Linked DNA regions of Mus musculus. The protein of the gene in region 1 interacts with the protein of each later gene in a pairwise test. Links are inferred from orthologs where the notes say so. Each region holds a gene or a part of one and is shown in the gene's direction. Other genes may lie near its edges.

Region 1 (3,559 bases):
ATTTGGTGTTTGTTGTGCTATGGATTCACACAGCCCGGGCTCTGGTTTCCCCTTCAGGAAATACTCACCAGAGCACCCCACCCCCCACCCCCCGTCCAGAAGTGAAGACTTTCCTTGTGTTTTTGAAAACTTTCTAGAATTAGTAACTGATTTTCTACTCCAGGAGTAAAGGAGATTAATATCTCCTGAGAAGAGATAAAACAGGAAGTTATGGAAGATAAAAGTCCTTTCTGATGGGATGGGGCATTTTGAGGAGAGTGAAAACTCTGTAAGAACTCCATGCTTAGCTGTAAGACTTAAACTCGAAAAGTTACATGGTTGCCAAAAAGCATTTGAGTCTCCCAGCAGTGCTTAGTGTCCTATCCTTGCGGTTCCTGCTTTTGGGAAGCTGAGGCAAAAAGGAGGTCTCTAGTCTGAGGTCAGCCTGGGCTCTGTGGCAATTCTGAGGCAAGCATGAATTTTAGAGAGACCCCGTTTCAACACCTAGAGAACCAAAAGGTACTCAGAAAAACATTTTTATTTATTTTTTGCCTTTCTGAACATTGTCAGTCTTAGAGATGAATGTTCCTAGGATGCCACAAGGGACCCAGAGCCTAGAAGGGTCTATTGCTGGGAGTGCCACACCTCCAGAATGTCATAGGCGTGGCCAGCTGCCACTGAGCCCCTGGTCTTACCTGTTAGACTCAACTGTAGATGTTGTCAAGGCAGCACCTATGGGTGATTCAGAACTGACAGTCACATGAGTTGTAGGGGTGTGGTCACAGTAACCCTGAAGAGAGTGAAGCTCACAATGAGTTCTCAGAGGTTCTTTCTCGCTTGCTCAAAGGAGGAAATTTGGTCAGCATCCCAAGAGGCTGAGACTGAAGGCTACATAAAGCAAACGGCCCCTTTCTTTGGAGAAAGGCATGGCCACTTCCTCCCAGACCAGCCTTGCTGGACAGGCCTGGACTCTCTGTCCCTCTCCCTTTGTCTTCCCATCCTCTGCCTATCTGGACTGTTGGACATTAGAAGACCTCTAAGCCAGAGACATAGTCTAAGAGTGAAGCCTGAGCTACTGAGCATAGTGGTGCATGCCTTTAATCCTAGCACCTGGGAGGCAGAGGCAGGCAGATCTCTGTTTCAAGGTCAGCCTGGTCTACAGGGTGAGTTCCAGGACAGCAGGGGTTACATAGTGAGGCCCTGTGTCAGAAAATAAAACAAACAAGTGAGGCCTGAGCCTGAAGAGCAACTGGGCCAGCTGGTCAAGCACATAGTTCCTGCCAGGCCAGTGGGGGACTTCCACAAGCTGCCATCTCCGAAATCCTAGGATTGGTCCCTGCCTACATTTCCTAGAAAGCTCACATGATCTCCTAGATACTTCAAGCCAAAGGGCAGCCATTGTTCTCTGCTTTATCCAGTTGTTTCTGAATTGACAAACACAGCCAGTGCGTGGGTCTGGGAGGAGGGAAGGCAGGAAAGCAAGAGAGGGGAGAATGGTTATGTTGACCATGATGTTGAGTCTGTCCCAGAAGCAAGGCCTATAGTCGGGGCAGTTAGCTCTCTGCCTCCTGGACTTGGCACATGTACCTGCTGTGGCTGCCACAGGTCAGAGCTCCAGAGGGAACTAGGTCCTTGGGTGTTCAGGAAGGAGACCCTGCAGCCCCTGCTTTGAGCTCTGGCCCTTCAGAATGCTACTAGGTGACCTGAGGCCTGGGCAGGCCATGTCTGTACCCCAGTAGCTCCCAGCATGTGCGACTGTCCTGTGCCTGCTGCTGTGCTACCCCGCTTGCCCCGTCCCCTCATGTCCATGGCAATGAGGCACCTCTCTCCTCCGTGGTCTTCTGACCCTCTGCTCTGTTCTGTGACAGGTGCCCACAGACCATATTGCTCCTGCACCGCCAACCGCTGCTACTGACACTATGTTTCTTGGTGTCACCCCTTCCCCTGATGCTGACCTCACTCAGGTTTGTGCTTCTCCCCTTTGTCTGTCGCCCTCCTGTCTGCTTCCCAAAGGACTCCCAAAGTTTTTTGAAAACTACTCTATTCAGATAGCTTGGTTCAGGTGTGCTCCTGGAGCCTGGCATGGGGAGGCCAAGATGGAGAACATTTGGGATGATGGGTGTTGAGATGAATTTGGCCTACTGTGTCCCTGTGTGACAGTAAGCAGAAGCTAAATAATGCTACCTTATTTCTTTCTACCCATACAGAGCCATGATGCTGGCAATTGCTCTAACCTCATGGAGGAGACCAAGTAAGTGTTCCCTACTGAGGGAGTCGGGGCAAGCCTCTGCCCATGAGCCCTGTTCCCATCAAACTACCTGCACCCCTGATCTCATGTCTCCTCCCTTAGGACTTTCTCATCGACTGAGAGTCTGCGACAACTTTCTCAACAGCTCAATGGCCTTGTGTCTGAGGTACCACAGGACTGGGACCCAGAAAGAAGGTAGAGAGGAAAGGAAAGTATGTTAGAAAATGAGGTGGGATTCTCAAGAGACTAATTCATGAGAGGCTCTTGTCATACTGGAGAAGACTTGGATTTGGACCACAATGGGCAACGTGATTTTTATCCTGGTGTGGTTTGAGGTGACAGCTGTTGAGCGGCGAGGTTGAGCCATGGCGGGAAAAGAGCCATAAGGAGTGGCACAAAGGGGGTGTGAGTGAGCAGGAAAGGAGATTCTGCTAGTTGAGGGGGAAGTAGGAGGCTGCAGGGATTAGACATTGAGGGTCACAGAGCATCTCCATGTGAGGTATTGTCTCTCCTAGTCTACATCCTACATCAACGGGGAGGGCCTCACATCTTCCAACATGAAGGAACTGGAGGTGAGTGGCCTGGACTCATGGCCCAGCAACCCTTTACGCCAACAGCCTATCTCCTCCTACAGGGACCTGGGTGCCCGCTGCCAGCTGAGACAGCCCACCACCCCCACCCCTAATGATGCTCTCTCTACCTTTCCCCCCATCCCTCCTCCAACTCCTCCTCTCTGCATGCGCCTCAGAACCGGTACCAAGAGCTAGCAGTAGCCCTGGACTCCAGCTATGTAACAAACAAACAACTCAGTAGCACGATAGAGGAATTGGTAAGAGTCCAGTGGGGTCCCTGATTCTTGCTGCCAGTCCTGGGCTTCAGTTTCCCCTTTGGGCTCTGAAGAAAGGGACTAGGGGGCCCCTGGGACCAAGGGGAATGGAAAACCTGGGGCTTGAGTCTCAGCTGGAGGCACCCAGAGCATAGAGCATGCAGCATGGATCTTGTGGCTCTCCTCTCTGCCTCCACTCTGTACTGCAGACTCATCCTGAGTCCTCGCCCTACTTGTCCTGAGCTCGGTGCCTCCAGTAGAGGGGAACACAACCCCAGTTGGTTGTCAGGACCCCATGTCCTATTGGCTTAGCCCCTCATTTGCTCTTTGATTTTGGCCACACCACTCCCTGGGTTTGAGTTTCCTGTTAGCAGATTTGGAGTGGGTCAGAGACCTCTGTCTACTCTGAAGAGGCAAGAGTTGGAAAGCTCATTGACTCATCAGAAACAAGTGCTCTCCCATTCATCTCTTGGTTGTGCCCACAAGACACGCTCAGTTTTAATTCG
Region 2 (4,211 bases), about 62 Mb from region 1:
ACAGGTAAACTGTAGACAGCCGCCCCAAGGAAGAGAATAGGGGGTGGGGATTCCGTGTTAAGTGGGCATGGAGGTCAGTCACTGAGTGGAAGGCAGCCGTTGTCATGTAAGAGAGGGAAGCATCAGAGAAAGAGTAAGGGGACATCAAATGCTGGCAAAAGTCTGAAGTCCTAAAAGAAGCATGCTTACAGGAGGGACAGCAAGAAAGGTAAGCTATGGTTTTTGTTGTTGCTGCTGTTTTTAGTTTTTGTTGTTGTTTCTCTAGGTAATTTAGAAAAGCAGGAAGGCTTGGAACCGGCGTGGCCATGTTCCTTAAGTGACGGAGATAGAGGGTGGGAATCGGAGAAAGGAAGTACAGTGTCTCATTAAAGTACTAATAAGTCCACTTATCTCTTTAGTGTTACTTCAGGTAAGCCTACCTTCCTAGGGGTCATTCTTTGGCCAGGTGATTCTATTCTTTTGACGAGTGGGGATTTTTCTTAAGGAGCCTTTACCGATACCCTGACAGAATCAGGCTTATTTGAAAGATCTCCACAATGATTGTGTTTTGGTAAATTTTAGAGAATAATATTTGACAGAAAATAGTTGACTTGGTGCTACAGTCAGAGTTGTCAAATTATAAGAGACATGGCTTAACCTGATCTCTTTAAAGAAGCTTGTGAAGAGGTCAGATGCGTGAGAAGGCACTTTAGCTATCGTGAATTATTAGATTTCTATAGTGGTCCAGACGCTGCTGTCTCATTTAATCCCACTTAACAGGACCACTTAAAAAGTAAGCAATGCACTTGCCCCAAATGGTGGCATTGGAATGAAATTTAGACAGATCTGTGGACTCAAGTAAAGTTTCCTTAGCACTGAGGAACTCAGATAAATAAGGCATGCTCTCACGTCCCAGCGTAAATGCTGTGTAGAAAAGACGGGCGCGCTACGTTGAGAACAAAGCGCACCTTAGACTCTTCATGGTTTTCAAGGTAAGGAGAGAATTCTATAGCAGAACCCAGCATGTCCCAGTCCTCCCTACTCCCGGATCAGTACAAGTTCCGGGAGAGTGCGGTTGCCCTTTGCACAACAGACCTAAGATGCCAGCACTGGTTTCGGGAACTAGTTTCCTGAGGACCTAGGCCTAGGAGGCTCATCTTCATCCCCACATGTGCCCCTGACTCCAGTTCCCATTCCGACCATATTCCCTTCAGCGTCTCCACCCGGCCCTTTAGTTGCCAGGGATGCGGGGCAACCCGGACTCCGGGCTACCCACCGGAAGCGGAAGCGGTGGCAGTATGTCACCTAAGAGGAACTACGCGCAACGGAGGCCTGTGGTTGGACGTTGCAGGAGTTGGTGCCTCACTCTGAAGGTTCCCCGGCGTCCAGACGGCTGATTAGGGTCGTGTCGGGACCTCTGCTCAGGGCCCAGCCAGGTTGGTCCGGGGCGCCCAGCTCCTTCCTGGCTTGCTGGCCGCGAGCCGGGGGCAGGCGTGTGAGGACTGCCCGAGGGTCCGTTTCTGGGCCATCAGAAGGCTGTTAGCCATTTCTCTGTACCTCAGCCTCGAGGGCGGGACTGTCTCCTGCTTGAGGGAGAGGCCTGAGGTCAGACGGTGGCGTCCGCTGCCACGGGGTTTGCTGGCGGGACGGGATAGATCTGTGCATTCCAAGCAAGTTCCTGCACCTGCCAGAGCCCTTGTTCTTTTTAAGGTTTTCAGGCTTGGAGTTCCAGGGTGGCGGGACCTTTGTTAGGACCTATTAAGTTCTGGGACTCCTCGAACTGACAGCACTCAGGAAGTCTCAGACAGCACTCTGGAATTTCTGTTCACCACTTGCCTTAAACAAGTCACGTCAAGGTGAGCAGGTCAGAGGCCTTCACTGACCCCCACTAGTCTTATGCCTTTAGGTCTCCGAGAATATGATACACGAGGGTTTCCTTCACACATTCGGTAAGCCCGGAGAGTTGGATTTGATTGTGTCATTAACTTTTTGAGGGAATCGACATCTTCTCCAAGGCCCTACCTGGTAAATGATAAGCACTTGATGGGTTGTCGGTGATGAGACGGGGTCTCAGTATTTAGCTCAGGCCTCCTGGATGCTGGGATTACTGGTATGTGCCTGTAAACCATCATTTCTACGTCCTAAGGAGATTTAAGCAGAGCCCTGAGCTCTGTTGGATCGGAAGGTCTAGGAGACGAGGCCTGGGAACCTGTGGTGTAAGCAGTCATATGAGTGGACTGTCTTTGAGAGCTAGAAGCTTTCCTAGACTCATAAAGAAGTGGCTCGCAGGTTCCGAACATGTGACCTGACCCTTAAGAATTCTGTATTTGCTATAGGGTAACCTTTGGGCAAAATTATAGGGGGTTTGATTAGCTCAAGGCTGGAACCTGACAAGAGTTGAACTTTTCATCAGTATTGATTTCCTGAGTGTCTCTGTAAGTCACTAAACCTTCTGATCTCTATACATATTAGCATATCTTACCCTTTGCTGCTTGTTATAAACATAGAAATAGAGTCTTTCCTAAATTGTAGTTTTAAAAGTGGTACATGGATATTTTAGATTTTCATTTCAAACTTAATTTTAAAGTTGACAAATCATTGTTCTTATTTATGGTATTCTGTGACATTTTGATATATGCTTTTGATATAGAATGAATGCATCAAATTAATACATCTCTTACCTCGTATACCTTTTTGTGATGGAAATATTTAAAATCTACTCTTCATAACTGAGCTATCCAGTGATTTGGTTTTTTGTTTGTTTTTTTTTTTTTTTTTTTTTTTTTTTCGAGACAGTTTCTCTGTGTAGCCCTGGCTGTCCTGCTGTAGACCAGGCTGGCCTCGAACTCAGAAATTCGCCTGCCTCTGCCTCCCAAGTGCTGGGATTAAAGGCATGTGCCACCATTCCCAGCAGTGATTTGGTATTTATGGCCCTTGTTCTGTGCAGGAGGTCAGTAAAGCTTATTGTTATCCAAGTGAAACTTTGTACTTTGGATCCACAGTGTCCTTGCCCCCACCTAGCCCCCTTCCCTAGTCATAAGCAATCACATTCTACTCTTAGGGTTCAGCTTTCTTAAGTTGCTGTGTGTAAGGTCACGTAGCGTTTATGTCTCTGTGCTTCTCTACTTCATGTGGCCGAAGTCCTTCAGGTTTCTCTGTCATGGCTGCTTTTAAGGCTTCCAGGGAAGCTCCGTACAGCCGGTGGTAAGGAGCACTGCACTGGGGAGCCTGGTCTTGGCCGAGTTTTCCATATTCATGCTGTGGACAATGGGAATGTTAGAGCTGCATGCATGTGGTCTGCTCTTGGGACCAATCTAATAACATGGTTTTCTGTTAGACCGCCTATGGTAAAAGGGCTTGATAGCCAGTAGTCCACCTGATCCAGCCCTTGACAGAGATGTAGTAAAGTAGAGCAGCTCTGTTGCTGTTAAGCCGCCTCTTCTGACCGCATTAAAGCACGTACTTACCCTTTACTAGGCCAGGCACGCACTGCCTTAATAAAACACTCGCTTCGTTTTGAAAACAGGTAGCCATCCCTTGGTCTGAATGGGGAATGAAATCTTCTGACATCTCAGAACAGAACGCTTTTTCTTCACCATGGAGGACAAGAGACAGCGAGCCCGAGTGCAGGGAGGCTGGGCTACACCTACCAAGAGCCAGTCTGCTACTCAGCCAGGCAAGAACCTGCAGAGACTGTGTGTGTGCATGTGCACAGCTGCCATCCTCTTTCATTTACATGCTTTGGTTTATCATGAACTCCCACTTGAGTTGTTAACAGTTGTTCTGTAAATGTGACTGCCATTTTGTCTGCTCTGTGGATGGTGAACTAAGGGTATGAACGTGGTTTCTCCAGTGTAGTATTTGGTGAGAGTGCATTGAGGCTGTTTGTTGTCCTTGCCTATTACATCTCGAGGTCATAAGTCATCTTCACGCAGTTCTTATCGGCTCTTGTTGAGACTGTTCTCTCCTATTTCAGCTTCCCCTGCTAGGAGCCGTCTTTCCCAGACCGCGGGGCCAGCCTGGAGGAGCAAGGAACAGCAGCAATGTGACCGACAATTTGTGTTCAAAGAACCTCAGCTGGTAAATGGTTGTTTCTTCCTCAATAGTAACAAAGGTGTACCTATAAAAGCTGTGTTTCTGAGCAGGTTCTCCAATAGTGGCTGAATACATTTACTTGTGAGTAGCAGAACAAAGGATTCTAGTAATAATGAAATGTGGAATATTTTGGTTGT

The links.
Region 2: the proteins of Golga2 (region 1) and Alkbh3 interact in binary tests that used the Homo sapiens proteins (3 or more experiments, as listed by UniProt). The link is inferred for Mus musculus from reciprocal best matches to the Homo sapiens genes GOLGA2 and ALKBH3.

What each region holds. Positions count from the first base shown.
Region 1 is NC_000068.7:32,294,779-32,298,337, forward strand, and holds part of Golga2 (golgin subfamily A member 2), read left to right. Parts: intron 1-1,847; coding exon 1,848-1,943; intron 1,944-2,186; coding exon 2,187-2,230; intron 2,231-2,329; coding exon 2,330-2,393; intron 2,394-2,742; coding exon 2,743-2,799; intron 2,800-2,975; coding exon 2,976-3,056; intron 3,057-3,559. UniProt on the Homo sapiens protein: Peripheral membrane component of the cis-Golgi stack that acts as a membrane skeleton that maintains the structure of the Golgi apparatus, and as a vesicle thether that facilitates vesicle fusion to the Golgi membrane.
Region 2 is NC_000068.7:94,007,887-94,012,097, reverse strand, and holds the start of Alkbh3 (alpha-ketoglutarate-dependent dioxygenase alkB homolog 3), read left to right. Parts: upstream 1-1,367; 5' UTR 1,368-1,415; intron 1,416-1,689; exon of another isoform or gene 1,690-1,835; intron 1,836-3,505; 5' UTR 3,506-3,576; coding exon 3,577-3,655; intron 3,656-3,955; coding exon 3,956-4,059; intron 4,060-4,211. UniProt on the Homo sapiens protein: Dioxygenase that mediates demethylation of DNA and RNA containing 1-methyladenosine (m1A). Repairs alkylated DNA containing 1-methyladenosine (m1A) and 3-methylcytosine (m3C) by oxidative demethylation. Has a strong preference for single-stranded DNA.